3 linked regions of the Drosophila melanogaster genome follow. The gene in region 3 interacts genetically with the main gene of each other region. Each region holds a gene or a part of one and is shown on either strand. Other genes may lie near its edges.

Region 1 (11,926 bases), on a different chromosome or scaffold from region 3:
CTTATCTGAACGAAGTGAAACATTGAGATACATTTGCTGAGCTGGGTCAGAGATCTGTGGGCTAGCCAGTCGAGTGAAACCAGCACATCTCTTATACTTTATAGCAATCTAATATTAGTGATCCCCCCATGAATTGAGCTATTCCCACTGAGCATGGCCAGGTGTTTGTATATTAATCTCTGTATATCTGCAGATCATGGACGAGGTGAAGGAGGGCATTAAGTACATCTTTCAGACACTCAACGATGCCACCATGTGCATCAGCGGCGCCGGCCACTCGGGCATGGAGGCCGCTCTGTGCAATCTGATCGAGGATGGCGATGTGGTGCTCATGGGCATCACGGGCGTCTGGGGTCATCGGGCCGGGGATATGGCCCGTCGCTATGGTGCCGAAGTTCACTACGTGGAGGCGAGTTTCGGCCGGGCACTGTCGCACGAAGAGATCACATTCGCCTTCGAGGCGCATCGACCCAAGGTCTTCTTCATTGCCCAGGGTGACTCCTCGACTGGCATTATCCAGCAGAATATCCGTGAGCTGGGCGAACTGTGCCGCAAGTACGATTGCTTCCTCATCGTCGATACGGTGGCTTCGCTCGGCGGCACCGAATTCCTCATGGACGAGTGGAAGGTGGATGTGGCGTACACGGGTTCGCAGAAATCGCTCGGTGGTCCCGCCGGTCTAACGCCCATTTCGTTCAGCAAGCGTGCTTTGACCCGCATCCGAAAGCGAAAGACCAAGCCGAAGGTTTACTACTTCGATATCCTGCTGATTGGTCAGTACTGGGGTTGCTATGGCACACCCCGCATCTACCACCACACCATATCCTCCACCCTGCTCTACGGATTGCGTGAGGCACTGGCCCACTTTTGTGCCGTCGGCCTCAAGGCGGTGGTGCGTCGCCATCAGGAGTGCTCCAAGCGACTGCAGTTGGGCATCGAGGAGCTGGGTCTTGAGATGTTTGTGTCGCGCGAGGAGGAGCGTTTGCCCACGGTGAACACGATTAAGGTGCCCTTCGGCGTCGACTGGAAAAAGGTGGCCGAGTACGCCATGCGCAAGTGAGTATTGTACAACTGGACGCGAATCCTCGATAGAGATCCGTATTGAATCCTTTCTTTTTTTCCAGGTACAGCGTTGAGATTAGCGGTGGTCTGGGTCCCACGGTGGAGCACGTCTTCCGTATCGGTTTAATGGGCGAAAACGCTACCGTGGAGCGCGTGGACATGGTGCTCAGCATCCTGAACGAGGCCATTCAGAGCAGCAAGCTGGGGATCAAGACGGATCTATCGAAAATCTAACAAATCGTTGCCCTGCTCCTATCACTAGTTATAAAATAAAAACAAATATGGAAAACTAAATGTACTTCCTTTTGTCTTTTGTTCGCTAAATGTTTGAAACATATGGCATGTGAAATTTGTTGTCATCTAGAGAGAAATGGTACAAAGAAGCGGAAGTTGGCCAAATTCAATTCAAGAAGACTTCTCTTTCTCACAGGCACAACTTCCCGATTGGCGGAAAACAAAGTGAGTGATGGGCATGGATACATCTTAGATTTATTGAATCCAAGCCGACGCCAAATCATCGACTCATCCAAAAGCACTCTCACAGGCACTTAGATTAAAAAAAAAAAAAACAAAAAAAATTGTACACTTAAAAGTTTATTAGTTATCAAATTCAGTGAGCATGGCCCAACTAATTTCATCCATGTGTACTTAAAAGTCTCCACCATCGGACCGGACCGGCTTCAGATTGAATCAACCCTGCTTCTGGGCAAGCTCGCGTGCCTTGGCGCGCTCCAGCTTAGAGATGCGGGCCAGACTCTTGGAGCCAAGGATACCACCGCCCCAGTGGCGACGGATCTCCTCGTGGCGCTCGTTGAAGTTGGTCTTCACAGCCTCCAGGACCTTGCCGAAGTTGGCCTTGTCGTTGTTATCGACGGTGGTCAGGGCGAGGGTGGTGCAGGTCTTGCGACGCACCAGGCGACCCAGACGAGCCTTACCCTTCACAATGCAGTAGGGCACGCCCATCTTGCGGCACAGGGCGGGCAGGAAGAGCACCAGCTGGAATGGAAATTAACGCGTTAATCAATTGTCGTCTTGGAAAACCACGTGGTTCGTGGGCTTGCGCATTGTATGCAATCAAGTTGCCCTCAATTCTTCAAATGTTAACTTTATCTTTGGCTTAGTTATTAGATCTAGTTGTTAGCTCTTCAACTAATTCAAAGATAAACCAAGGATTTAGCAATCCTTAACAAAGAATTAAGGCGTCAGGAGTCAAATTTCTACATGGCAGCAACCCACTCCGCCGGAGCAGGATAACCTGCTAGCCGCCGGAAGCGAGAAGCCTTGAGTTGAAGAAATTTTTTCATCATCGCAACGTGATTGAGAACCATGTATATTTGCAAATTTGCAAATATTTGGATGATGTGCAAGCTTTGAGCTGCGACAATTGAGTCAAACTAACCTCCAGAGGATCAACATCGTGGGCAATGACCACCAGTTGGGCCTTCTTCTGCTCGATCAGCTTGGTCACCGTGTTGGTACCGGCGGACACATAGCTGGGCTTCTTCTTGGGCTCCACATCCTTGCCCTTGGCCTTAGCCTCGGCGATCTTCTTCAGGCGCAGCTTCTTGGCCAGCGGCGACTCGGGGCGGTACTTCTCCAGCAGCTTGAACAGCTTCACGGCGGTGGTCTTGTCCAGAGTCTGGCTGAACTGGTGGATTGGTGGTGGGACCTTCAGGCGCTTCTGGAGCACAGCCTTTTGACGCTGCACCCGGATGTATTTGGGCCAGCGAACGAAACGGGACAGATCGCGCTTGGGCTGCACATTCTGGCCTGCAAAGTGAGAGAATATGTATACATTTAGCTAATATGTAAGAAATTCCGCTGCAATATTCATATATATAGAATATGTTTTGTGCACTTACCGATTCCGAAGTTCTTGGGACGCTTCTCGAACAGCTGGTTAACAACCTTCTTGACCACGGGCTTCTTGACAGCCAGAGGAGCGGGAGCCACCTTCTTGGTCACTGGCTTCTTCTTTGGCCTGGGCTGTAAACGCAATGAAAACACGCATTAGGTTAATTCGAGTTAACAGCAAATTTACGCCGATAACTCACCTTCTTGACAACCATTTTCAAGCGGTTTTAAAGTTTGCTACCGAAATAAGCAGTTGCTAAAAAAGAATTAGCACATTAATACGTTTTAAACTTGGTAAAGTTAATGGGAAAACACGCAAAACTTCGGCGACCAGCAAAACACGTGCATGAAAAATGTAAGTACGGAAAGAAAAAAAAAACCATGTTGCTTGCGTGTGTGTGTGTGTGTGTGTGTGATAATTGGGTATAAACAACACACGTTTTTTCGCAGATTTTCCGAAGAAATCTACTCCGTTTTCATTAAATTGAAGAAATATTACTTTCATTTTGATAACTTTGAAGTTTTAAGGTTTCTTTAACAACACTTCTACACACACACTCCATACACCTGCACCAACACATGCACAAAAACATGCCGCAACGCACATTTTTGTTCAAATGGGTTGGAATTTGGCAATTTCACTACAAAAAAAAAAAAGGTTTTCGGAGTATACTGCGTACTTCACGTGTTGTTTACACTTTGTTCTTTTAAGTGGCACATTTAAATCCGGCTTTGGAAGCCCACAGAAAAAAAATTATACAAAAAATTTGGTTTTGCACACATTTTCGCCGGCCGCGTAGTTTTTGGGTGAATTTCTGGAATTGTGAGCTTTACCTGTGATAAGCACGACCACGAACGTATCGAAATACTCGCTGAAAGTAAATAAAATATTGGTTTTTAGCACAAAATTCAGGACTGCTCGCTAGGCACATGCACTCACCGGAAACGTGGAACGAAAAAGAAAGGAAGTGGCAGTTCCAATGTTGGAAATCGAGTAGATTCGATCTGACCGTGCCACATTTGCACCGAAACGCCAAAAGAAGCGATATACCGAGGTGAGAGGCTATGCTTATTCTTAGCAGAGACTCGCTCCATTTATGTTTTAAAAATTTTAAGGTACATCAGATAAGTTAAAAAACAATGTTATTTAAGCGTAACTTCTTTTTTAATAGGCCAGCGCTTGAAAACGAATCAAATCGTGGTCAGAATACCTTTCGTTTAAATAAAAATAATATATCTAACATTCCATCCTATCTAGGACATACACCACAAATGTGATCGTTACAGCAAAGACATGCTCAAATTATGAATTTCTTAAAAGTGACCGATTTGTATTACCGAAAATCTTGAAAAGAAATACTAAATAGAAAGAAACTTTGGAAGCAGCCAGTGTTGGAGGTCGCGTTGCTTAAGAAAAGTAGCTTAAACTTGCCAAAGTAAATAAAAAATATTGAAATTAATATCAAGTAAAATCATTGCAAGTTCTTATTTTTTTCATTTCAATATAGAATTCAATTACACATATATTAATTGATTAATTAACAAGCTAAAAATAGTATCTGTTTATATTCAAGTGCAAGAAAAGAAAATAAAAAATATTAAACATTTAGCTAGATCTAGCTAGCAACCAGTTATGCCAACCCTGAAACTACCGAATCCAACTGGTGGCTGCAGATGCAGTGCGGTATTTTCATCCGGCCTTATTTAGCCATTTTCCGCTGTTGTCTCTCATTAAATCGCTGTCCAACAATAAAAATTTCTCGCCTGCGCTTGCGCTAAATGCTAGAAAAACTGTTTTTACCATCAAACGTGAATTCTTAAGCTGCGCCTAAACGAAACCGAGTGACTAAAGAACCAGAACGAAAACTTCGGGAAAATGGAAGCCAGGGAAAATCAGGGATAACTAACGCTGGCAGCGGGTCCACCATTTTTAATTTCTTTGTTTATTTTGTGCCCATCTTCGCGAGCGAGCGAGATAGCGCGACAGCAACAGCAAGAGAGAGCGAGAGAGAGAGAGTGAGTGAGTGAGAGCTAGTGAAGAGAGCGCAGGAGGAGTTGGATATGGAAATGGGCATGGATATGGCAATGGGCTCACTCCACGGATAACGGATCAACTGCAAGCAATGGCCAGCAGCGCCGGAAGTGCGGCATCCGGATCCGTTGTTCCCGGTGGCGGAGGTAGCGCCGCCTCCAGTTGTGCCACCATGGCCCTGTCCACCGCCGGATCCGGTGGGCCGCCCGTGAACCACGCCCACGCCGTCTGCGTGTGGGAGTTCGAGTCGCGCGGCAAGTGGCTGCCCTATTCGCCGGCGGTGTCGCAGCACTTGGAACGCGCCCACGCCAAGAAACTGACGCGCGTCATGCTGAGCGATGCGGATCCCAGCCTGGAGCAGTACTACGTCAACGTGCGCACAATGACCCAGGAATCGGAGGCGGAAACGGCCGGCTCCGGCCTGCTGACCATCGGTGTTCGGCGCATGTTCTACGCACCCAGCTCGCCGGCGGGCAAGGGCACCAAGTGGGAGTGGTCGGGCGGCAGTGCCGATAGCAACAACGACTGGCGGCCCTACAACATGCACGTCCAGTGCATCATCGAGGACGCCTGGGCGAGGGTGAGTGCCGTGCAGAATCGAATGTTTTCCCATTGGCAGTCTAGTTGGAATTTTGAGTTGCTCAGGAATTTTTTTATCGGGAGAATATATGGGGAATCTTAAAAGAGTGTGGGTTTACCACTGATCCTGAAGAATTGGCTAAGGATGCACCAGTCTGTGATGTGTCCATAGGTGTTTAAATAGTACATATAAGCCAAATTCCACAGTTCACATCTCAGCCAAAAAACGTAGTAGATCGAAGAAGTGTACCTTTTTGAATTTCTGATGCTTAGACAAATAAATCTGCATTTAAATTTTTTAGCTAAAATCAAATTAATTTTTTTTTCAAAAATTTCCATTTTTGCAACCTCAAAATGGGACAAAAAAATTGAAAAAAAATTTAATTTTCACTTTTGTAAAAGTTTGAATACAGAAACTTTCTGCTTTAAAAATAATGACTATTAAAATCATTCGCACTTAAATCGCTGGAGTTTTGGCTGAGTTATGGTATTATGATCAAATTTTAGGGGCTATATAAATTTATTCTTCTTCTTGCACAAAGTCCAACTGCAACCGCATATCAATCAATCAATATCATCAATTATAGATTGTAACATAACTTATTCCTACTCCCTTGCAGGGCGAACAAACCTTGGACCTGTGCAACACCCACATCGGCCTGCCGTACACCATTAACTTTTGCAATCTCACCCAGCTGCGCCAACCCAGCGGACCCATGCGCAGCATTCGGCGTACCCAACAGGCGCCGTATCCCTTGGTGAAACTAACGCCACAACAGGCCAACCAACTCAAGTCGAATTCCGCCAGCGTGAGCAGCCAGTACAACACTCTACCCAAACTGGGAGACACCAAGAGCCTGCACAGAGTGCCCATGACCAGGCAACAGCACCCATTGCCCACCAGCCATCAAGTGCAGCAGCAGCAGCATCAGCACCAGCATCAACAGCAGCAGCAGCAGCAACATCATCACCAGCATCAGCAACAACAGCATCAGCAACAGCAGCAACATCAGATGCAGCACCATCAAATCCATCATCAGACGGCGCCCAGGAAGCCGCCCAAGAAGCACAGCGAGATCTCCACCACCAATCTACGCCAGATACTCAACAACCTAAACATCTTCAGCAGCAGCACTAAGCACCAATCGAACATGTCGACGGCGGCCAGTGCCAGTTCATCCTCCTCATCGGCCTCGCTGCACCATGCCAACCATCTGTCGCATGCGCACTTTTCGCACGCCAAGAACATGCTGACTGCCTCGATGAACAGTCATCATAGTCGCTGCTCGGAGGGATCGCTGCAGTCGCAAAGGAGCAGCCGGATGGGCTCGCATCGCTCGAGATCGCGTACGCGGACCTCGGACACGGACACGAACAGTGTGAAATCGCATCGGCGGAGACCCAGTGTGGACACTGTGTCCACTTACCTCAGCCACGAGAGCAAGGAGAGCCTGCGCAGCAGGAACTTTGCCATTTCGGTCAATGATCTGCTGGACTGCTCGCTTGGCAGCGATGAAGTTTTTGTGCCCTCGCTGCCGCCATCGTCGCTGGGCGAAAGGGCGCCGGTGCCGCCGCCATTACCACTGCATCCGCGACAGCAACAGCAGCAGCAACAACAGCAACAGCAGCTGCAGATGCAACAGCAGCAACAGGCGCAGCAGCAGCAGCAGCAATCAATCGCCGGTTCGATTGTGGGCGTGGACCCGGCCAGCGATATGATATCGCGTTTTGTCAAGGTGGTGGAGCCACCGCTGTGGCCCAATGCCCAGCCCTGTCCCATGTGCATGGAGGAGCTGGTGCACTCCGCCCAGAATCCGGCCATTTCGCTGAGTCGCTGCCAGCATCTCATGCATTTGCAGTGCCTCAATGGGATGATAATTGCCCAGCAAAACGAAATGAACAAGGTGAGCACGCGAAAGCGATGCCAATTAGAAAGAGAAAGTTTATTTAAATTTCATTCCCCTAGAACCTTTTCATCGAGTGCCCTGTATGCGGCATCGTTTACGGCGAGAAGGTTGGCAATCAGCCCATTGGCAGCATGTCGTGGAGCATAATCAGCAAGAATCTGCCAGGACACGAGGGTCAGAACACCATACAGATTGTTTACGAGTAAGTGTGAATGTGCCTGTGGCCACTGAGCAATCAACTATAATCACTCTTTTTCATTTGCATGGCAGCATTGCATCGGGACTGCAGACGGAGGAGCATCCGCATCCGGGTCGTGCCTTCTTCGCCGTGGGATTTCCGCGGATCTGCTACTTGCCGGACTGCCCGCTGGGGCGAAAAGTGCTGCGCTTCCTCAAGATTGCATTCGATCGTCGGCTGCTTTTCTCGATCGGACGATCGGTGACCACCGGACGCGAGGATGTGGTGATCTGGAACAGTGTGGATCACAAGACGCAGTTCAATATGTTTCCGGATCCCACCTATTTGCAACGAACCATGCAACAGCTGGTGCACCTGGGCGTGACGGATTAAGGATTAGTTCCCTGTCCCCGAGTAGAACTACCAACCAACCAATCAACCAACCACCCACCCACCGAAGTCCCCTCGATCATTCTCTTCCATTCGTCGTTAAGTTACTTTCTACATAATCTCAGTGTGTGTGCAATCCTCGTTTACTATGATATATTTTTTTTATAGATATATTGTAATAGCGTTCGAGCTGCTCGAACCCTAAAACAACAGCAAACCACAATTGCAATTGTAGCTTCCTTTCCGCTCTTCCAATTCGTATTTGTACGCACATACGCAATAAGTTGGCGTACATCATATGTATTAGCTAGTTAGTTAGTTAGTTAGTTGTAGCTGTAGTTCCCAAGAGAATCTTGACCCAAGACACCTACTAGTATTAGGCATTATCCTGATTCTTGATTCCTGATTCGATTCAAGCCAAGCCAAGCCACGCCATTCGAGTGCAAGCTGTGCCAAAATCGTAGCGCTCCCGTTTATAGGATATGTATATTGTTGATATAGCTAGCTATAACCATTGCCCATCTCTCCATCTCTCTCGGTTTCGAATTTGTCTCTTTCATCAGATCCATGTGAATTTTCTTTATATCGGATTTATATAGGATTAAAATAGTATTTTGAGAGAGGAAATGGAGATGGGTAAATTCGATAGACTTGTCTCACTTGTCTTGGCCATTTAATCTCTTTCATTCAGCGAATTTGATGTGATTTTAATTTGAATTATTCATTATTAAACGGAGCATTTAGGAAGCATAGTTGTAACGCAGCCAGATATTCCATTACGCATATACATATACATATACATATACATACATACATAAACATATTTTAACATAGCCCCATAGCCATACGACATAACAATAATTTTTTTTATCGAATCCCTTGCATACATTTGATGAATTGTTGCTTTCATATTGATATCATCGAGCATCGAACGAACTATCGTATACATCGCCAATATATAGCATATATAGCATATAGTATGTAGAGATCGTACGGACAGCTAGCGGCTACTGACCGCGCCACCATATTTGATATATGATATGATATGATTTTACTAAGTTGTATTTAGCACTGATTAGTTATTAAAGTTCATTGCGAATATTCCACAACAAATTCCACACCATTTATGTATGCATATTACGCATATATAATACAGTACATTTATATATAGTTCAAATAAAGTAACTTTCATTCATGTTCAAATTAAGTCTTTCTTTTGGGATATTTATTCACTCATGTCTAAAAGGAAATCTTTCTTTTTGGACTTTTTCACTTATGTATGTATGTTCGAATGAGTTCTTTCTTTTGGGACTTTTTTCTTTATGCCTCTTATGTTATATTATTCACTCAATTGTGCCATGCTGCTTGTAAACTAATTACCAGCACAAGCTTAAATTCCAATTAGGTGGCTCTATGGCATTGTTGCATTGTTGCCAGTTTCTTACCAATGCGGTGCAATTCAAATCAATCAGTTGACATTTTTGGAACTTCCAAGGTTTAGCTGTTTTCAGTTTTCGGTTTTCGTTTTCAGTCTACGCCGCCGTGAATCACTTAAAATAAATTAATAAAAGACAAAAAATCCGATGCATTTTTTTTTTTTTGTCATTGTGCAGTGCAGCGAGTGCGTGATGTGTTGGTGATGTTGGATATGCTGGTGATGTTGGCGATGCTCTGGTGAAGTTGCTCCGGGCCATTTAAGGCGCAGCGGCAACAAGTTGAAGACGTGTTGTCGTTGTCGCCATGTCGCCTCTTCAACTGCCTACGTGCTGACGTCAGGCAGGCGCAAGGACAGTGTCCAAAAGTGGACAATATATATATAGCGTGGCCCAGAGCGGCTTTCACTGCTCCTCCTCCAAGGGCGGCCAATCATTCGGCCGCAGCTGTTCTTGTTGCAAGTCGTTAGTTTGGCATTAGCAGCACTTGGCCAAGTCTACGATGTGAAAGGATCGAGGAGCAACTGAAAGTTGTAGATTTCTCTGGCTTTGGGCCTGCTTCATATCTATGGATCATCAAGTGATCATTAGATATTGGGATATAGATACAACTCTTTTCAGCTTGAGCACTCTGGTCAGGTATCCTAAAAATAGATGCCTCTCCTGCTGATGCGGCTGTTTTCCTTGTGCCAGTTGCATAAGCAAATGTTTTCCTAGAATTTACAGCATTTCATGCAATCTTTATGCGATTTTATGCGACTGACAATGATCGCTGATCGTTGACATTCAACACACGCAACACGACAACGCGGCAGACAGAGCGCGATATATGCGAAGCGTGTGGCGTGGAAAGAGAGGGGTGACAACAAGTGCGTATTGATGATGAGATCGCTAATAAGGTGGTTTTGGCCAAAATAAACAAGCCTGCTCCACTGACCCTGTGACATTCGCCTTTTGTTTAATTGTTTTTTTTTTTGTCCTCAGCCTCGTCCTGACCATTTTCATGTTTTGTGACAGACACCAGCGATAAGGCCATTCGAACTGGTCTTCTTTTTCAGGTTCTACATCTATATCCATCTAGAAGAAAAGGCCTTAATCCTTAACTCTAACATCAGATATCTCAACTGAAATATATGGCAAACACACACAGTTTTGATGGTAAAAAACAGCTATTATATTGGCTCATAACCCAAAAACCACTTAAGTTTTAAGTTGCACAAGCCAATTGTATTGTATAACATGATAAAAGAAAAATTTTCCAATTCACGCGAGAAATCCATATTGGATTGCCATGGCAAAGTCTCATAAGAAAAATATGCAAAGGGTTTGGCAGGCATTGACTTTGTTCCTGTTTATGTTCTTGTCTTTATCTTTGTGTTCTTGTTCCTGTCTTTCCACTACACTCGTATATACCCCTCCCATTTGCGCACCCAGTGGTCATTAGTCATGCAAATGAGCTGGGATTATCAAGTTTTGTCGCTCTCTCGCTCGCTCTCACTTTCCTTATCGCTCAGGATCAGCTGACGCTGAGAGATATGCATGTTGCATGCACTCGCAAAAATAGTTCATAAAAAGAGCAGCTTAAGAAATGGACACTTTCGACCTGAAGGCAACTTCTTTGTTTTTTCAATAACCACTCGTATCCCAAATTTCATATCAATAAGATGGTGTTTAATATAATCACAGCTATTATTAAGATCCTAAGATCCTATACAATTTGCGTATCTAGAACGCCACAAAGTATGCTATGCTTGCTGCAAGCCACATTAAGTCTCAGTTTTTCACTCCCTTCTCTCTGGATATGCTGGACATACTTCCTAGTTGTGATCATGTTTTTCCCCAAGTGTAGAGAGCGTTGCAGTGGCAGTGGCGTCGACGCCGCCGCTTTGGGCCGCCGAGAGAGCCCGCGCCTAAATGCGGCAACAACAGCGGCTTGCAATCAGTCAAGAGCCTCCGCTCGTGCCAACCGCATCATTCGCCACGCCCCTCAGCCCTCCGCCTCCTTTGGCTTGCCGCACAAACCCAACATCAAAACTCACTCGCTGTTGCATTCGAAAAATAAAAAAAAAATTTTTAAAGTGTTTACGCGTTTAATTTTTTTTTTTGACTGTTTTGTTGCAGGACACTGCAACACTTCGTGCTTTATTTTTTTGTGAAATAATTAGTATTTGTTTTAAGGTGAAACCCGACTCCTTCGCGTTATTAGTCGCGTGTGACAGCAGCAACATCCAGCAAATAAACCGCAAATCAATCAAACAATCGGCAGAGTTGAAATAAAACAAAAAAAAAACAAAGTAGCGCCCGCGTTTTTAACCGCGCGCAAGTCGCTGGCAACTTTTCGCCGGAAAGGCAGGCGCAACTTGATCTTTCCGTAAATTAAACTATTTACTGTTTAAATATTTGTCAAGTACACAAAAATACATACGTTGCTGCTCGTTGTTGCGTCGTCTAAAGTTACAAAAGCCTTCAAGTCGACGTCTTTCTCTGATAA
Region 2 (10,836 bases), on a different chromosome or scaffold from region 3:
GGATGTGATCAGCTTGTTGGGCAGTGGTGTAGGTACGATGTCGGGAGCTGTTCTCTACCCAACGCCGTATCAGCATCGAATACGCTACAACTCGTGCACGGATTCAAACACTTCCGGCGTTAGCAGCTGCGAATCGGTGACCGGACGCACTGCAGCTGCATATGCCGCCGCAGCCAATGAGTTACAGCAATTCCCTTTGAGTCCTATTCCAAGCATGTCCAATCTGCTCGAGAGCGATGAGCTGTTTCGTCGAAATCAGCTAGCCACCAGTATGCTGCCCTCCACCCTCAGTCCTATGGCGATGAAGGGCTATGTCCAGCTACGCTCCCTGCGCAAGCACAGCCGACCCGTATTCTCCGAATCTTCGGCGGAATTCTACGACTTTGCGGAAATACTGGACACACCAGAGGTTCAGATGCGCAAGCTCGACTGGACGCATTCCCACCGTCGGCTTAAGGTACGCAGCTTGGACCGCCAGCTAAGTGATGTTTATAGGTGAGTCATCCTTTGTGGATGGTAGTCGCGTTAAGAGGTACTAATAGCGTTGCTTGGTAATCTGTTCATAGACGCCTCTCCGCGGACGAGTTGAATGTGCTTCTGCCCACGCTTAATGCTCCCAAGTTCCTGCCTCCTAATGATTTGAAAGGGCCATGCTATGCGGGTATCTGCTTGCCTAAGAACGTTCTGGACCTGTTTCCGACGCGTAACCTCAGTCGAACGTACGTTTCGCGGGATATCCAGGACCAAGATATAGTGGGCATAAATCTGCTGAACACCATGCTACGGCCACAGTGTCTCAATGACTCACTCACCAATGAGGGCGGCGACGAGTCATCGGTTATATCATCGCTGTCGGACGTCTCGTCTGCAAGTCGGCGACAAACACGACAATTGCAGCAAGGCGCCAAGCACTCGCGAAGTCTGTGTCTCCATTGTGCCCGCTCCCCGCGACAGCAGCGTAATGACAGCGGCAGCCATAGTAATGGTGGAGGAGGCGCATCCCTCGCTCCCTGCGAGCTGTACAGCAGTGCAGCAGCAGCTCTGGTGGCAGCCGGCATCCAGGCTGGACCAGTTTTGGCTAAAAAGAGTGGCTCATCTGCCCAAGGAGCTTCAGCGGCACTTGGCGCCGACATCAGCTTCCATTCCCCAGAGAGCATGCTGAGCGAGGATAGCCTGCCGGACAGGCTTACGGCCTCCATTCTGTACAACGTGCAGCGTCTGGCCAATCCCGTTAGTGCCAAGCAGTCGAAAATGGCTCTGTTGGAGCTTAAGCAGAAACACCCGCACGCCTTTCAGGTGAGACTCATTTGAAATCCAAATGATGGTTCGTACTTACCACGTTTTTATCTCTAGGATATTTGCCTTTATTCGGAGGCCTGCAAAACGATAGGCCGGAGTAGCTATCGGATGATAGCCCGCCGCTTCCTGCAGGAGCTCTTTCTGGACCTTAATTTTGACTCGTTCTACGTGGAGCCTCAGCTCATAATCGGGGCACGTAAGTTTTCCGCTGAGGAAAAAGCAGAGGCCACGGCCCCCACGGCAATGCAGGCCATGCCGTTTAAGCAAACGATTCTCAAGCCTAAACCGGCGGCCCAACTGGCTAGCGTTTATGAGACTAGTTGGGAGAACCTGCTGATGGACCAGTCGCCACGGATAAACAAGTCATCGCCTGCCGATCAACCGGCCAATGCTCAAACGAAAGCAAAGGCCCGGAACCAGCTGCACATTGACGATACGGAGAGTTCGTTGTCCAGTACCGATGGCGAAAATGATTCCGGTGAGGATGTTTGCGACGGCAGTGGAGCCGGCACCCAGGCCAGCTCGGTGACCACCGCTCATACAGCCCTGCCCACAGGAAACAGCAATCGTAGCAGCATTGGCACATGCACAGCAAGCCAGCTGGTGCCAGGTGCGGCAACTTCAAACTCCGCTGGTGCTGGGACAAGCGCATCTGATAATGCTAGTACAAGTCTAAAGAATGAAAACCGGCAATTCACACGCGGACGATTCTATACGCTGGAGCTCGATTTGAGCTGCACCAAGAACAAGTTTCCCATCAAGAATCGCAGCCAGCGAACACCAACGCCTCCACCAATCGAAAGTTTAATCGAGTCCAAGCCCACGGTTCAGACAGATGTGAATACAAGTGCGCTGCCAATTATGCAGCGGACCGGTGGCAGCAATGACTCCTCGTCAGCCCTAAGATATTCCACTGTGACCAAGAGCTTGTCGGCATCGATGGCCAGGCCGGTGGGCAGCCTGTACTGCGAGAAGCGCTTGCAGAGCTCCAAATCGGAAGCGGTCCTCGATGAGGTGGCGAAGGCGAGAAGAGCATCCGGTGGTGTGGGACTGACAACTGTGCGTGACAACTCCTAGACGCACTGGCGGAAGATCAATTGAAGTAGCCCAATGGGGACGCACTGCCTACTCTTACATCTCGTTTACTGGCCGCCCGCCTTCCTAAACCGAAACCAATCGGATAAATGTAATATATCAAATCAAAGAACATGTAGCTACGTAGATTAAGGCAATCCGTACTATAGGATTTAAGTTATTTTCGACTAGTTTGTTAAAATTAAAGTTATTACCATAGTTACTTTTACGATCACCACTTATGCATAGTTATTTTTAAAGAAATTCATAACCGTAAGCAGGAAACCAACAAACGACAAAAATCCCAAAAAATAATATATAATTTTCTTATGTAGCGTGTACCAACATATTTTATAGAAGCAGATCGAAAGCAAATTGGATAATTGCCTTGAAGCAACAAGAAACAACCACAAACCACCGCAATTTATTTAATTAATGTACTTAAAACTAAAAGAGACCCAGTGGCAGGCGAAAGCAAAAAGACCACACAAACCTTAAACCAAGAAATTATCATTATTGTTGAAAACAAAGCAAGAAGCATACCGTGAATCGTTCACAATCACTTTAAAACCAAAATGAAATGAAATCAATAAACTATAAAAATTGAAAAAGTTAAACCCAGCAAGTGCTATTTACTTAAAATCGTATGGAAAGATAACAATCTTCTTAGGGGCTGACTAGATTTAAGGTCGATTTATTTAGTTTGTTTTTTAATTGAAATTGGCTAAGCAATCGTATTGGTTGAGTCATGCAATTGAAATTGTTGGAACTATGCATACAATATTTTGTATATGTTTAGTTTAGGAGACTGTAGGAATTTCGTAGTAAGCTCTATTTTTTCACTATTCTTGTATATAAATGCACATAATGATCTTAGGTATAATGATCTTAGGTAGTGGTAGTACATAGCAATGTGTGTGCCCAGCGGACGGGGGAACCATGTCCATCTCGGATCGAACGTGGCTCCTCCACGTCCAACTGCCTGACATTCGAGTATAGTGGGAAAAGTGAGTTTCATTTCATTTCATTTCATTTGAATTGAATTGGAGTGAGGAACCGTATTGTTTGAGTGCGGACTTTTCAGGTTGCGCACTTCGTTGAATTTGTCTCCTGATAAAGCTACAATTAATTGAGCACTAACTTTATGTGTGTGTGTATATACTATATATAAGTACAATTATATGTATCAAAAATGCAATCAACAATATCAGTCCGTTGCCGTGGCCAGCAACAACAATATCTCCTATTCTCAAACTCCATTCATTTCACGCCCGCTGAAACGGAAATTGATACCAGATATTAGGGATTAGGGCTTAGGGATAGTCAAGCATACTCCAATGGGGATGGATGTGATATGTAAATTGAGCAGATCAGTGAAGGTGCCTAGCCTCTGGCCAATCCAATCCATTTCGGTACTAGCCTTGCACGTATCCCAGTTCCGTCTACTCACCCAGCCGTGGATCCTATGGCCAGGCGAAGTTGATGCCCGTCAGCTGGTAGAACTTGTTGTTGAAGGGCCGGTAGAACTCCCGGAGGCGCTCGATGGCCCCGGGATCTATGTGCGGATGGTTGCGCCCCTTGGTCTTACCCAGACAGTGGGGCGTGGAGCGTGCCTCCGACTTGAAGAGGCAGGGGAAGCCCTTGGTGGCATTGAAGTAGAAGTGCTTCTCGGTGACCACGCGCTTCAGACCGAGGAAGTCCTGTACGCGTCCAATCTCGTAGGCGGGATCCATGATCAGCCGCTCGCCGCTGATGAAGAGCAGCTGCGAGAGCGGAAAGTAGAGCAGCCAGCGCTCCAGATAGCGTGCATAGACGCCGATCTTCACCGGGCCCCAGTTGGTGTCCACCACCGAGTAGCTACCGTTGACGAAGGCCAGCTGCTCGAAGAGCTTCATGTCCGCCTTCTTGCTCGCCGCCTGTGTGTAGTCGGAGATGGCCCGCGTCACCGGATCCCGCACCACAATCAGTAATCTACGGGCGTATAAAATTGAGGTTAAGTGAAGATATGCTAGTGATTGATGGTCCAGATACGTAGGGTTAATGTAAAACGCATAATGCATTTAGAATATAATGTTAATCCCTTCTATGTTGATCAAATCGAATGTTGTATTCCGAAAACCATTTCACTTAAGGTGCTTAAAAGTATGATAAAACCTAAAACAAGTTCTAAAGTCTTGTGTATAAAGCACATATTTAAAAGGACTCAATATTTAAGGGATATCCGCCTTAAAAATCTCAGCTAAGCGTTTGAAACACTTTTATTATATAGTATGCTACGATTTACGTACGGTTTCAATATTTAAGGGATATCAAATCGGCCTTAAAAAGTATCTCTCTTCAATTTTCAACACTTCTATTATAGGTGCTAAAAAGTATGCTATGACTAAATACAGTCTTGTGGATAAAGTGCAGTATTCTAAAAATATCATTTTTAAGAATTGACCGTTTTTAAGTTCTATCAAATCTGATGGAGTAACAATTTACGATTATGATCACAATAGGTTTGATGTAGAAAAGCTCACTTTGTTGCCGGATTCATGTGGTAGACGCGCTGCGGCACCTCCTTGGTGACGAAGTAGCTGGGCGTCTTCTCCATGGTGATCTGGCCCTCGATAGTGTACGGCATGTGGTGGCGGTACCAGCGTAGTCCCCGCTGGTAGTGCCTGTCGAAGAAGTGCACCTCCGAACCGGCGGCCCGCACGTCCGGATGCAGGCGGATGAACTCGAGCAGCGCCCGCGTCCCGCTCTTCTTCACGCCAATGATGAGCGTGTCGGGCAGGTGGCGCGATGGTCGGAGCCCCTGCTGACGGAGCAGCTGATACTTGGGCGCCCCATCCAGGCTGCTAGTAACCGTCTGTGCCGGCGGAGCACCGGTGGTGGATGAGCTGTTCCTGCTGCTGCTGCTGTTGCTGCTGCTGCTGTTGGCGGCGTTATTGGTCTCGTTGCGGGGCGAGGAGGTCAGCGCCAGTAGATTGCGTAAGTTGCTCTGCGCGGGAGAGGTCAGAGGTCAATGCCACACATCGTGCGAAACATATCAACATATTGGCTTATGAAAATGCCCAACTTGTAAGTATGCCGAAAAGTATGCAACTATAAATGTACATATATATAATCGTATATATGTATGTAGATAGCATCGCAAAGTTCAGCGAAAGACAAAACTTAAACTTTTCACAGCACACTTTTGGACAGCTTGTTAAATGTTTTGAAACCGCTGGGGATTATTACAACCCCCCCCCCCCCCCTAATTTTGAGTTGGCTCCACTTTACACATGTGTGTAGCGAAACTTTATATTCGATTTTCCAATTATCAGTTTGTTTTCATGAATAAATGCATTGGATATTGGATACATTTAGCCCCTACACTTAGACATTGTCCAGTGATTCGTGGACATATTCACCTGCTGCAGACTGCGACTGATGCTGGCCAGGAGGCAGGCATTGAAGCTGTAGGAGAAGTAGACCAGAGTCACGCAGATCACCAGGGCGATGGCCAGGCTGCGGCTGCTCAGGCTGAGGCTGCTGCACCAGATGCTCATCACAATCATGGCTGGCTGGGCGCTAGTGGCTGCCGTGTCTCGCATCTGGCGGTATAATCGGTTCCGAGCGCTCCGTCAAATTCCATTGCCACTCAGTCGCCCCGGAGCACTGCCTGCAGCATCCGGATTCCGATTGTGATTTGCAATCGCAGCAGCGGCTGGCGGCTACCGCCAACGCGAAGTCAACTGAAGGAATGGGGCTGTTCGCAACGCTGGAGCTGCTGGTAGTTGCTGGTGGTTGCTGCTGCTGTTAGGTGGCTGGTGGGTGGTTGGTGTGGTTGGGGTGGTGCTGGCGCTACGAGTTCGGCCTGCAAGTGCCGGAGCTGTCGTCGCAGCCGAGTTGCGGAAGTGAAAGCCAGGGATAAGGCAGGGCCAAGACATTGGGGTGCCCTGCCAGCGGATAAGCGCTGCCTGGGCCGCCGGTTCGGCTCCGTTTGTGCAGGATGACAGGATGGGTGGGGGAAGCGGCCGTGTCATGGTTGCGCCTGGGAAGCGCACAGGCGCATTGGACACATCCTCTCTCGTCTCGGGACGCTTATGCAACTGAGCGTTTTGCTTGCTCTCTCGCCAGCTCGTCGAATCGCCGTTGGTGTGACGTCGCAAATGTACACTGCCCGAAAGAAGTGCCAAGTCTTGAATGTAGCAGATAATTAATGTAGTGACAGCTTGCTATCACATCATGTCTTTAAGAAAGAAAGCAGACATATATAGTTAAATCAAAAGATACTAAAATCTGAAGAATTTCCGCTTTGTGAGGGTTTGACGAAATCTTTGCTTTCTACACAAATCAAATCTTAATAAATAAGTATTTCACTTAAGTTAGTAATTAATTTCCAAGTCTGATAAAGTTATATTTATATTAAGCAATAATAATAGACATTATTGATTTGTTAATTTCTAACTTCACAACGAATACATGATAAAATGTACTCCAAAAACGCAATCGTTAAGTAGTATTTCTAATATTTTTTATTATTTCTAAAAATGTATATATGTATATAGTTTGTTATGTAGGCTGGGAATGCCATCTTAATATTTATTCGACCATAATCTTTTCGTATACGGCCTTTTATTTTCTTACTTCCTGTCGCAACTCTCTCTCTCTCTCTTTTTTGCTCTCGGCTTCAATCAATTTTCCGCTCAAAGGTAAACAAACTAACCAAGAACTTACCCCCACCCACTTTGGCAACCAACCACCCACCCACAACCCAACCACCCCATTTGCGTCTGATAAAGTACTTGCTGGCATTTAATATTGGATTGAAATCAATTTACCAAGCATTATCGCCGGACGTTCTATTGCCCGTACTCCTATCACCATTAGCCATTTGAGATTAGTTTTAAGCCCTATCGTTGGAATGGCCCAATGGCCTTTGCCACATTGTTTTCTTATGCATATGAAAGGCCAAAAAATTGTACGTTTCCGTGGCAGCGTGGTAAATAGTAGGGGCCCTCAGTTGGGCCAACTGCCAAGGAGCTTATCAACCGGCGGACATCTGTTTATCTGTCCAAGTGGCTTATTCCACTGCGGCATTAGTCACTCACTTTGGGATACACTGGCGAAAAAAGCGCCAGGAAATTCGATCATATAAATTGGGGTAAAAATATTTACATAAAATGGGAAATATAGTACTTCGAGTAATGCCATAGATAGATACTTGCTCAAAAAAAGATACATTCAGGTACAAAAAAAAACATTGATCTATAACCAACGAATTTCTCCACAAGATGCGCAACATAATCGGATTTCCTTTTGACTATCATAATTCATGAACCCGAGCGGAGAAATGGCTAGATAATCCCAAACCCTCAACTTTTCCGCCCGTGTATCCATGGCCACCACACACATGCACCTGGTCGGGTCGGGTTGGCTTATCTTATCGCCTTATCTGCGCCGCCTTCGTCGCAGTCGAATTCTCCGCCGGACTTCCACCGGCCCATTTGCCATTTGTCCGGCGTCGCATCGTAGGCATCTCCATTCCAGCTGCTCGCTAAAATGCTCTAAGCTCCTTCGATAGACGAACCTTCCTCTCCCTGCTGCTGGACTAACTAACGCAAATCTATCGCAAAAATGTCGAATGTGTGGGGCAAACTGGTGCTGAAGTTCTTTAAATATGCGCCCAGCTATGTGGGTGAGTTAGCCACGCCAATGGAGATCCTTGTCCAGAGATTACGTCTCATTCACTTCCAGTCTGCCTGTGCTTCCTGCCCTGCGGCATGATCTTTGGCTATACGATCTGCGCCTTTGTTGCGGAGCGGAACCTCAACGCTGGACTCATTCACTATGGACCATTGATTCTGGGCGCCTGCTGGGCGTTGATCACTGCCCTGGCCATGCTGACGGTCAAGTTCGTGAAGAAGTGCATCGTCTACTGGCAGCCATGGCTGCTCCTGGCAGCCGGAGTCTTTAATCTCATAGGCAGCTGCTTCTACTTTGCCGATGGATTTGGTGAGTCATTTCTATGGGCTATTAATTCGCTTCGAAAGGCTTGTGAAAAGTAAATCAATCTGTATCTATATGGCTGGAACTGGGATGTTCTACATATAAGTTTTGAAATAGATTTCAGTTAACAATACTTGAATTTATTTCCCAATAGAGAGAGAGAGAGAGGCAAAGTGATTTGCAATCTGAAAATGATTCGATCTCGATCTGAGTATGTTGAGCATGATTCAATCTTGGCTAGATTTTGAAATCTATATTCTTAAATCAATATCGTTAAGAAATGTTTTGAATGTATGATTTCAGCGAGTTTTTCCAATTCCTTAATCCCACTATTATTATCACTTCAGACCACGTCGGAGCCTATATATCGTACTTGGCGCACAGCATGACCTTCGTGGCCGGCTATAGCTTCCTGCTCACGATCAGCTCCAAGGGCAGCAGGTCGCTGTTCCTCTCGGGCAGCTGCAGCTGCTACCTGCTGGGCGTGGCGTCCGCCGTCAGCCTGATCGTGGCCTCCTACAGCCGGAATGTAAAGGAGCTGGCCGGACAGACGGTGACCACGGAGCAACTGATCGATGGCATCTATGTAAACTTCGCCGGCACCTACTTGAGTGTGGCGGCCGCCGTGTTGGCCATTCTGGTGGGCCAGAAGGTGCTCCACTTTCTGGGCACCGTCGACCTGGTGAACAGCATGGACAACGACCTGCGGATCGCCAACTCGAATGGCAGCATCTTCGAGCAGCGATCGGAGGTCATCAAGCGACTGCAGTTCTTCTACGTGACCAAGAACCAGCAGTGGAACATAATGCTACTGCTCCTCTTCACGGAGGCCGTGCAGTTCGCCCTGTTCGTGTACTTTGTCTACTGGTTTGCCCTTAATCCGGCCATCCGGCTGACAGAGTTCTCCGGCATCGACGGCATGTTCTGGGTGATCTTTGCGGGCAGCCTGCTGGCCCTCATCTGCCAGTGGTTCCTGTCGGTGAAGGTCACCTTTGTGGGCTCGCAGGTGGCCCTCATCTCCTTCACTCTGCTGGCCATGATCCTCTGCAGCGTTACGGACTCCAGGTGGTCGCTCTGGCTGCTCCTTGTGCTCTTTGGCCTGTCGTACTCGCAGCAGCAGATTCTCCTGCTGGAGGTCACCCATCTGCGCTTCACCGAATGCATCATATGCATCTCGTATGTGCTCAAGTTGATCTGCACCAGCATCGTGTACTTCTACTTTGTGGCGGATGCGAAGAACTCCTACTTCTATGCCACCGACTCGAGCACTCTGATGGCCCAGGGATTCGTCTTTCTCATCATCACCTCGCTGCTGGCACTCGTGGTGGGCATGAAGGTGCCCCGGACGCATCGCGCCCAGCTGCTGGAGATCCAGTACGAGGTGTACGGCATCATCTTTATGAAGCACCAGATCGAGCAGCTCAACGTCCGTTGGCTGAACGACGGCACCATTCCCACCATCAACCAGTGAGCCCGAATTTGAGCTTAGGTCCCCGAGCTGTACACACACACTTTCTTATCTTATCACAAATACTCAGTATTTAATGAATCGAAAATAAAAAGACTTCTCAGTCTTTATCCACATACAATTGGTGACAACAGAAATAGGAGCCTGAGTTGAAGAAGCTATAAATTTCGTCTATATATCAAGGCATATAAACGACTTAAGAATATTAAATATAGAACTATAACTGCTTAAGTCAAATTCTTTGGAAATTAGATACAAAACTTCTGATATACACATTTTCATATGATCCGCCTAAAAGGTTTTGCAGTTGTATCTTTATCATCATTAAAGAGCTGTAAATTCTTTTCCAATTTTCCAAACAATCCCAATAGAGATACAATCAAGGCCTTAAGTGGGTTCCAGATAGTGGGTGTTTGTTTACGTGGTGTAGGTTTATTTTAGGACTAAAACTAGCGTCTTATGGAGATAATCTGGACGGCGGCGGTGTGATCGCGACAAAAGTGGCTGGCACAGGCCGATACGTTCGCACATGGAGTCACCTTGTAGCCACTGTCACCTGGAGGATAATATGCTTAGTTATGCGGGCGTTCCCCATCTGGAGATATGACATGACTCACCCAGCTGGGTCATGAACTTGTGCAGCGTGTCCACATTCCGCACCGTGCTGGCCAGCAGGGTTTCCAGTCCACCTCCGCGTCGGGAGTACAAATAGTCCATGGCACCCAGCAGTGCATCGAACTGGGAATCATCGTAGATCACATCGGCGGCTATCAAAAGATCCGTTTTAGCATGCGAATCCCAGGGGAACTCACTGACCGCAGCCCAGTTTAGCTGCTCCGCCTGGGGCATCTGCTCCTTGGGCGTGTCTGGAAAATTCAGGCTGATATTCTCGCGCATTAGCTGGACGCAGGGTTCACTGCCATCGGTCAGCAGGACCTGGCCCACTTGCAGCTGCAGGGCCGGTAGTTTCAGCATGATTCCCAGCAGCCCGGCACCGGCTCCCAACTCCACTA
Region 3 (9,630 bases):
AAAGAAACCAGCGAGACAGAGTGAAAAAAGTAATGAAAAGGATCAAATTGTGCCGCGATGGGGGGAGCGAGGCAGGTGGCAGGGGAACTGATTATCGGAGCACTCGAGAGCATCTGCCGCAGCTCCATCTACCTTATACCCTGTACCATCGCCATCTACCACCACCACTCGACAGCTCCAACTCCTGCTGTCGGCTGCCAAAACTTGGCAAGTTAAGAGACAAAGGCCCGGTCCTCCTGCGCGGTCTGTCCATCAAGTCAAGCCATCGAGTCAACCTAAGCCAGTTCCCCAAAAGCAGCTGGCCAGTGAATAGCAATCCCCATCCCTACTGGCCCGAAAAAACCGCCTCTCCTTTGACTCAGGGCGATTAAAAGGTGATTTCCTGCTTTTTGTTTTGCAATTTTCAGCAATTTCGCTTTATATTTTGGCAACGGCCTGCCCATTAATGCTATATATATATATGTATACACCCAGGCTGCTGGGATACGAGGATATATGGATAACAGCATGTGATGCGTGTGCGCCGAGGTCCGGCGAAAGCCGCTTAAGCTGCTCGGTTGAGCACTTAATCCCCTCCTTGTACTTAAGGAGTCTCAAGGGTATATCGGACCTGCGTGAAGTGGAGGTTGACCATGGTCAATTGATCTCGGGGGAATCGGGTTTGAATTAATAAAGCTTCATGGTCATCTGGATTAATTGAAACTATCCCTAATCGTCTATATCATGCGTTTATAAGATACAACTATTGTGCTTGAAATTCTTAAGTCGGATAAAAAATATTATGTTTTATTTATGCTTTATTTATTTATGCTTTAAAGACACAAAAACCAAAAACCGAAGCCGAAACGATGTATTTTTCCCTTTGAATTCCCACATATACTTCTTAAATTTCTATTTCGCCCTTTGAGACTCGCAAGTAATTGCGTCAGCTCGTCGAAATTTTCTCGGCTTTGTGGGCGAACGTAGCACATATACAATTTCCAGCCAAGCCCGTGAATTTTGTTGGCAAGAAGTGTACACATTTTGCTTCTAAGCAAGCAAATTTCGCTTAAGCCAAACTTCAAAGTGGAGCGAAACGACTGAATAACGCTGGAGGAACGGCAAACCAGCCAGCAAGCAGATCAAAACAGGTGGCTGCCAAACCAGTTTAATGGGGATGAGGGGCATCAGGGCCCCACTGACATATTTCGTTGATGGTCCAACAACGTTACCGCATTCTCATATTGGAGCGGTCTGACGCATAATCCTTTTAATGAAGCAACCTGGAGCTGGTTACCTGGCTGCCCTTCCATCGCCATGGCTCCCCCCTGCCAGCTGCCTTTGTTTTCACTCCATTGTTGAGGTTGCTGCTGCTGTTGCTGCTGCAAGCCCTTTATTGACATTAATTATAATTAAGGAGGCGGTAGGGTGTCGAGTCCTTACATCCCTGCACCTAGGATGTGGTAGCATACGAGTCGGAGTCGGTACAAGTCCAAGTCCGAGTCCTTCATATGCAGATCCGATTTCGAGAACTCCACATCATTCACTGTAAGCCCAACATGAGAGCCCCAGTAAGTATGCTCGGATTTTGACGAAAGGATGCCACTGATCATGGCTCCATCATTTGCAGCAATCTCTTTATAAGTCGCCCGGGGGCCCAGGAGGAGATTAAGGCATTGAACGTGAGGCCTAAGTGGCTGCCAGGGACGGTCGAGTCTGGCATTAAATATTAAATACGACAACGTCCTGCGGTGCGTATGAGTAATTTGGCCAACATGTGTGTGTGTGTGTGTGGCGGGCCGTTAAAACGGCGGGGTAAAAGGCGGATTGCGATTTTGGACCCACTCGTTAGCACATCGTGCCGCCCAACGCCCAACGCCCACCACCCACCTCCAACCTCCTATCTGTCACAACCTTTAGCGCTCGCTCTTCACCTGGCGGAGGGTTTGGCGTATAAAGTAAGGCATAAAACGGCCAGATAATGGCCCGCCACGTTGGTGGCCGCTTTATGGGACGCACTTAAAGGAGAAAGAAAACAAACCAGCGGCTTTCTTTCGGGAGTCATAAAAGGATACACTGGGAGAAACAGATATGTATGTATATCCTTTTCAACCTACACATTTAAGTAACAATAAACACGGAATCATTTAGTATTTTTGCCAGTGCACGACTGCTTTACCTTGGCCGTCGCGTGCTTATCTGATGATTAGCATAAAGCAGGTACTCACCTCCTGGTTGGCTTCCTGGCTACCGCTCTCCTCCTCCACACTGGCGGATGAGCCGTCCTTGCGAGTCCTCTGCTGCAGCTTGACGAGGGCATGCTGGAAGTCCTGCTCCTGCTGGAGCATCTCCTCGCGCAGTTCCTGGACGTAGACCTCCGTCTGCTGCTGGCGCTCGCGCTGAGCGGCCAGATCTAGCTTAAGCTGCTGATAGTCACTGCGAATGGTGGCCAGATCCTCAAAGGTGGAGCTGCGCTGCTGGACATCCTGGGCCACGTTGCTGGCCGTCCTTTGCAGATCCACCAGCTGTTTGCGGATCTCGGAGATCGTCTGCTGCAGCCACTCGACGGTCAAGCGCTCCTTGTTGCCACTCTGCGAGGAGCGCAGCGCGGCCAGCTCCTCCCTGAAAAGGAAAAAAAAATTTAATAGGTCTCTAATTAGCAGGGGGCAGGTAATGCTTTAATTGCTACACTCTGGCCAGGAAATCTAATTTAAATTGACATTTTCAGGCTGTCGGCTAACTTAATTGCCAATGCGGCTGGCGTGCGGTCCACTAATGGGATTTTGACCTGCACTCAATCATGCTGCAGCCCCACCTCGATACCGCTAAATTTCCATCGAGCGTTTAATTTAAGCTCTGCGAGATTATTTCACCAGCCCCAAACATTGTCGACAAACGGAAATCACAGAAATCAGGAAAAGCGGACAGCGGACAGAAATTCACAAATGGCGATGGCAAAGTTTGCCGGAAAACATTCAAAATAAAAAATCAAGTGCGAACAGACCGCAAACAACAAGTGCTGGGTGAAAACGTTGTTTAAATGCTGAGAATGAAAATGAAAATGTTGTAGCACTTGTGGCAGTTGCCAGCTACCAAAAAATAAGAGCGAAATGAGACCAAGACCGAACGAAACGCATTTTTGTGGCATTTCAGACAATTAAAGTAGTCAGTTGGAAGGAAGCGGAAACGGAAGCACAGCCGCAAGAAGCTGAACAAATTCGGAGCGTAGGTAAAAAGTTTTGTTTTTCGAAAGGCAGCAGCAGCCGAAGAAGAAGAAGGAGAAGCAGAGCAGCTGCCGCTGTACTTTTATTTTTCACTGTCAAAAGAGCACAGCTACATGAAATTTTCATAAAGAAAAAACCCAACCGGCAACAAGACAAAAATAAAGTGGTCCAAAGAAAAGTTGTGTTCCCCATCTCCTGACTGGTGGTGGATGTACATATACATACATCACATTCGGTTAGGTTTTTATTCATGCCAGCCAGCGTATACGTAATATTTCAAATTGTTGCATTGTGCGTGGGCGTTTTTTGTTAATTTTATGGCTTGCAAAAGTTTTTGTGGCCCCATCCAGACAGACTATGAAAAGTTATGGATTTGTTGGGCTCTCCGTTTTCCACACAATTACTTAAATATTTAATTAAAACAGGTCGGGGGTCTTGCAAAAGTTGGGACATCAAAAGCCGTAACTGACCACCCAGCACTGCCGGAAGCCCAAAACTCCACATGTACACATATAGCCAAAGATTTGGTATGCCAAATAGAATAAAAATGTGTTCTTTAGCACGGAGCTGAAAAACTTGCATTACTAGCCCTAAAAAAATAACAGTTCCTAACCCTGCCCATTGGCAACTTTTGTAGTAATGCCAAACCAACCGAATTTCCCTTTTCGCCTGGCAATTTTTCGCTTGGCTGCCGTACCAGCTTTTTCCGTCCAAAAAAAAAAAAAAAAAAAAAAAACACTGACTGTCATTCAACGGAAAATTGAAAATGCTGTCAATGACAAGCGAGCAAATTGAAAACGCAACATGAACACTGCAAATGCCGAACTTCATCGGACCTGATTTGATGACGTCTGATGGTGTTCGCATCTGGATTTTCTGATTTTTTTCCAGTTTAATTACCAAATTGGACGCAGCGGTGTAACTTTTGGAAGCGAATCTTGTTATCAAATCAACAGAGTGGACCTGCCCAACACGCTATTCAGCTCAATCAGATAATGATGTTGCCCGACTGAGCGGACTGCGGCTAAAGCTGATCCAGATGGGCGGTGGGTGGAAATTGGGCGGTAAGTGGGCGTGAATGTCGGTCGAAGGTACGTAATGTGGTCGGTTTTGTGTGGGCGGCGGAGATAGTGGATCACATAAACCACAACTGACATGACGTTTGACTGGCGTTTGCCTTGGGAGTTGGTAGCTCCATCCCCAGCTCCAGCACACCATCTCCACGGACAAGTCCCTTTTGCAAAACACACTCCTCATATGTATATGGAGTGTATAAACACGAGCGTGTGCTGAATTATTTACGGTGTCACTGACAAAGTTTACGATGTCCACGACAGCAACAACAACGGTCTAACCTTGGCTATTTGTTCAGTAAATTAAGAGTGTGCCATTTTTACGTATTTTTTTACGCTGCCACAGAAGATGGTATTCCGAGTGGTAGTGGGTAGAGTCCGGTAGTGGCACTGGCGAAACTGATATATGTGTGTGCGTTCAGCTCGATGAGACAATCATTATTAGTCAGCCCATGACAATGACAACAAAACAAATCACGAATGCTACGCAAACTTGGGCTGGGCCACTGGCTCGTGTCTTTGCTCTGATTAGATGTCTTATCCTGCCGCTTCCTGCGTTTTTCCCCATCACATATTTGTCTGAATTAGTGGAGCACAATCATGTGCCGCATAGGAATTCTATTCTTCATTGCACTGGCCTCGAATGAAAAAGTTGAAGGATTCGCAAAATGGAGGGAAAAACTGAAGTTTTCGCTGTCACAACAGTCGTAAATAATTGCAAGCGCCGTGTCAAGGGAAGATGGGAAAAACAGTGATATAGCATGAGAGAACGCTGGATAGGAAGGAGTGTGCCAACTATCATATACCTATTAGTCAAGGCAAGTGATTGCGAAGCAAATGGACATATTGCGTGAATACTTTAAAGGGTGGAAATGACTAACTATCATAGCTATCTTAAAGTGAAAGGAGTGCTAGGACAAAATATAGCAACTAACCATGATTCGTATCATGCCCCGCAGTTACCTTATCATACGTATACAAATTTGTATGTCCAACTTAATTTAAATGCATTAAATCTAACACTAAAACTAGACTCTTAAATAAGAAAGATATATTTTTCACCCTGTTTACAAACTGTTGCCCGCTTTAGAGGGCCATCAATTTGTTGGCCAAAGTTGGGCGACAAGTTCTACGTGACTGCGGGAAAGTTAGCGCCAAGTTTCTAGGCCCACAAATTGCCAGCGAGACATTGACCAATGGAGCGGGTCTGTGTCTGTGCGCGGCGCAAATTAAAAATTCAAATTCGATTTAGAGCAGGTGGGTTAAGCCTGGCCAGCTTACCTGAGTTGGTTCAGTTCGCTGCGCATGTCGGCGTCCACGCTGTTCGCATTCGTGGTGAGCCGCAGGGATTTGCGCAGATTGTGCTCCAGCATCTCGTAATCCTCGCGGCGCCGCAGCATCAGGGCGTTGAGCTGCTTGGTCAACAGGCGCACCTGATCGGCCATTTTTTTGCTCTCCATTGTCCTGCCATCCTGCCGTTCAATGGAGCTGATGTCCTCGCTATCCTCGTCATCATCGACGAAGCGGAGCAGCTCCACGCTGGATTCCGGCGCTTCCGTTTCCTGTTTTGAGTGCACAACGGGTTTCTCCGAGGTCACCACCTTGGCATCGCGCAACATGTTGTTCACGTCGCTAAGGACTACCCCACCACTGGCCGCTCCACTCACGAATGCCACGGATATTTGGAGCAGCACCACGGCCAGGAGTATTGGCCACAAAACGTTTGAACCTGCCATTGTTGCAGGGCAATTTAAATGGTCACGCGAAACTTTCTTTTTTTGGAGGTCCGGGAATGTTTGCCAATCTCTCATTCACACCGCACAAAAAAGGGAACTCGAGTTAGATGGGCAATTTATGCAAATAACTGGCACGCATGCCGACACACAAACAATTCTCCTTGACTTTCCGGCGCCGTGACAGTCAAACACCTTATAAAAAGGCGCTGGCAAACAATGCTACAATTATTCCAGGCGTTTCCTCGGGCTTAATCCTTGTTGCTTGGCTTAGCTGTTCTTTTCACTTTTGGTCCACGGAAAGTTCGCTCGCAGCACTGGATGAAGTATATCACCGATTTCACTAGAGCACCTTCCAATGGAAGGATGTTTTCAGCGCGGCGTTCTTCGAAGGACTGAAGCGGCGCGTCTTCGGCACTTCCTTTTATTCGCTGCCATGCCGAATGCTCGGCTTCGTTCGGCACGCTTCGGCTAAAGCGAGAGAGCAGACGAGTACGAAGTTGCGGTAAAGGCAATGGTAAATTAAGCGGGGGAATTGCCGGGGAAGAGTGCCGAAGAGAGCAGCCACCTGCCCGAAGCATGCAACAAGCAGGAAAGAGAGCGACAAAGAGAACGCATCAAGTTAAGAGAAAATCAATGAATAAACTCGATGTTAGATGCCCGAAAAATGTCCTTTGAAATGTTTGCTATTACCAAAGATCATGTCTTTAAGGCAGCAGTTACCATTCGGAGTTTCAGATAGCGAACGAGAGCAACACAAAATGGCGGTCTAGTTACCCGGTGCTTCTTTTTTGCACTCATCCTGCTCCTGACACATGGCGCGGTTGCGGTGAGACTACAACGAAAACAAACTGCAACGAAAACGGCAGATGTTTCGGCCCCATAGGCAGGCAGGCAGACAGAAGGCGAAGTGCGAAAACATGCTGATGTGCTAGATATACTGCAAGACGAACAAAAACCAGACGGAGCCAAATGTCCCGAGTACGGGTAGTTGCAAGGAGGAAGGACAGCCCATAGGCGCACAAAAGAAACTGCAGCAGCGAAACTCTCTATTGTCTTTGGAATTCCTCGTAGTTACCTGGGGGAACAAGATTTCCTGATTCCAAACAATAAGGATGTTCGAAGCAAATACCTTGATAGGAAATCAGATACTAATGGCTCAACTATTGCCTGCATTCCAGACCGAAATCCCTTTAGATCTGCCGCTTTTCGGGACATTTGTTTTTAGTGCACAGTTGGTGGGAGATCTCTATATAAATCTATTTCTATATAAATCTCCCACGACCACCCACCCACGCGATTCGCTGATAAAAGCCGGAAAAGGTTTTAAAGTGCAAAGTTGGAATGCGGCTGCAAAAGTCACAGGCAAAAAAGGAGCAGGCGTGCAATCGAATGGGTGGTCGTAAGCCCACTAACTGCAATGTTGCAACATGGCTCCAAAAAAAAATGGTAGGGGGCCCATCGAAAGTGGGGAAAATGTGTGCAAAAAATATGCCAAAAATGCCGCCTTACGCACCGAAAAAAAGCGCTGTAAGCTATGCATTTTACTATTTTTGTTCCATCCATAAATATACAAGGGGTGAGGCAGGTTCCGGGGTCAGCTGAATGGAATGTGCGCTTGGCTGAGCAAAGGGAGGGAAATTGGTGGAAAAGCGGGGGGGGGGCAAGAGTAACGACTGCAAGGGGGTGCAACAGTCTGCCATTGTTGGCACTTGCCGAAGCTGTGTTGCAATTTGCCATATTTTCATACCCTTGCAAGGAGTTTTGCAATGGCAAACGTGCATTTGGTCAACTAGAACAATATATGTGTCTTATAATCTATAATTTTAGTATATATTACTAGAAAACTGCTGAAATAAATGGCATTTTACAACAGAAAGTAATAGCTCAAACCAGCAATAATTTCATTTATTATTTATTCATCGAAAAATCTTAACTCGTTCTTAGTTAGAAGCTGTAGAAGCTGCGTACATTAGTTATTATTATTAACAATTAAAGTATGTTCTCCAATTATCGCCTAACAATTAAGGTAAGGGCATATTGAAGGTATCCAAGTGTATTCCCATCTTCGGGTCTCCCAATTGCGCACTACCTATTATTTCGATGTCGTTTTCGGTTTTACTTTTTAATGTAGTGCTGGCAGCGAACGTTGGTCAGAGAAGGCAGAGAACAAGCCGGAGCTGCTGGCCAGCCCCTTTGTGGTGGCCATCATCAATGGATGTGGCTGCATAATCAAGCGGTGGCCACATGCACATCCATGCCACATGCATGGGACATACAACTTGCCCTTGCCATCCGGCCGTACTGTTTGCATATTTTGAGTGGACGCAGTTTAGTTTTTAATTTGATGCCTTTGTTTGTTGTCATTCTGTTCTAGCTTGTTGCACACGACAAGTGCATTGTGGGATGGGGCATTGCACCTGGGAGTGGTGGCTACCGCCATTTGCATGGCACTCTCCCAACCCCCACTAGCCGACCATTTGCCCTCGTGTCCATGCCACCACCCCACTGAGCATTTGTTTCATTGTCGCCCGTTATATTGTTGGCTTTTATGCAGGGAAATGTGGCTGGAAATGGCAGCGAATGGCTCACGTTATGGTCAGCATATTAAGGTAATGGCCTGGAAAGTCTGTCGGTCCTCTCCAGTTCACTCCCTGAATTGGTATTAAATGTGAGCGTGGCACGACTCGAATGGAGTTCAAATTTCATTCCACTCATATTCGATGGGGATTTCAACGGGTGCTTCCCATTGAAGGCTCTTTTGAGGTCTCGTGCAGGTGCTAAAAGCAGGTACTCTATACGATTTGATGGGCCACCAGCATTGTTCTTTCCAATTGCACTTATACTAAAAACAAATCACTTTATGTAATAACCAACTGGGTTGTAACACCTGGCTGCAGAATAAAATATAAGGTTGGCACTACTGCTCATAAATCATTAATGGTAAAATAGTTATTGTTATAGTATTGCCTACTAAACCATATGAATTATTACTCCTTGTACACTAAACTTATATATAATTTAAATATTTTAGCAATTTATATATAATAATATAAATATATATATATATAATATATAAATATATATTATATTTAACAATTTATAAACAAATAATCTTCATACAGATTCCAAAAGTGAGTGGAATCGAAAAATGCGTCTCTAGTAATTCAACTCACTTTAAAACACATTTATTTTAATGAGTATACGAAATTGGATTCAACAATCAATGCCGGAATGCGGGAGCAGGTGTCTCTTATCTGCACATTGACCAGTTCGTGGCCTTTCTGGCCAGGCAAATGATGAGGGCTCATCAAGTTGGCTTAAGGCATTGTTGATTCTGCCCAGTGTGCATACGAGATGAGTGCCTGAGCCGAGGACAGGTTCCGCTTATGCGGCATGCAACCAAGGAGCACGCAACCACGCACGCGATACATTTCCAGACCAGGCGACAGTTTTGTGCCTTTTGAAAGTATCTGGCCAAAAAACAACGATCGACAAGAACGCTGCGCAGGCGCAGTTCCAAACTGAGCACTAATCATCTGAATGACAACGGCTGCAACAGCTGAGGTAAGTTGGCCGGCCGGCCGTCCAGTCAGTCAAGCAGTCAGGAAGCACTGAAAG

Evidence for each region.
Region 1: of sca (region 3) and dx, changing one enhances a phenotype caused by changing the other (phenotypic enhancement), as found in Drosophila melanogaster (one study listed by BioGRID).
Region 2: of sca (region 3) and Hs3st-B, changing one enhances a phenotype caused by changing the other (phenotypic enhancement), as found in Drosophila melanogaster (one study listed by BioGRID).

Annotation. Positions count from the first base shown.
Region 1 is NC_004354.4:6,529,374-6,541,299, forward strand, and holds dx (deltex), read left to right. Parts: upstream 1-4,625; 5' UTR 4,626-5,039; coding exon 5,040-5,528; intron 5,529-6,147; coding exon 6,148-7,431; intron 7,432-7,493; coding exon 7,494-7,636; intron 7,637-7,704; coding exon 7,705-8,005; 3' UTR 8,006-9,202; downstream 9,203-11,926. Other genes in the region: Agxt (Alanine-glyoxylate aminotransferase), read left to right, coding at 194-1,056, 1,125-1,296; RpL7A (ribosomal protein L7A), read right to left, coding at 1,753-2,058, 2,462-2,832, 2,925-3,048, 3,117-3,131.
Region 2 is NC_004354.4:19,244,262-19,255,097, reverse strand, and holds Hs3st-B (heparan sulfate 3-O sulfotransferase-B), read right to left. Parts: upstream 6,460-10,836; 5' UTR 5,958-6,459; coding exon 5,775-5,957; intron 5,360-5,774; coding exon 4,896-5,359; intron 4,345-4,895; coding exon 3,837-4,344; 3' UTR 3,824-3,836; exon of another isoform or gene 3,648-3,823; 3' UTR 3,053-3,647; downstream 1-3,052. Other genes in the region: rictor (rapamycin-insensitive companion of Tor), read left to right, coding at 1-495, 567-1,296, 1,354-2,376; CG7992 (uncharacterized protein), read left to right, coding at 7,984-8,044, 8,104-8,361, 8,703-9,826; CG7889 (uncharacterized protein), read right to left, coding at 10,273-10,379, 10,441-10,836.
Region 3 is NT_033778.4:12,777,320-12,786,949, reverse strand, and holds the start of sca (scabrous), read right to left. Parts: upstream 6,410-9,630; 5' UTR 6,088-6,409; coding exon 5,558-6,087; intron 3,340-5,557; exon of another isoform or gene 2,708-3,339; intron 2,650-2,707; exon of another isoform or gene 2,602-2,649; coding exon 2,208-2,601; exon of another isoform or gene 2,131-2,207; intron 2,073-2,130; exon of another isoform or gene 1,610-2,072; intron 1,551-1,609; exon of another isoform or gene 1-1,550. UniProt on the Drosophila melanogaster protein: Involved in regulation of neurogenesis. May encode a lateral inhibitor of R8 differentiation. In conjunction with Gp150, promotes Notch activation in response to Delta by regulating acquisition of insensitivity to Delta in a subset of cells.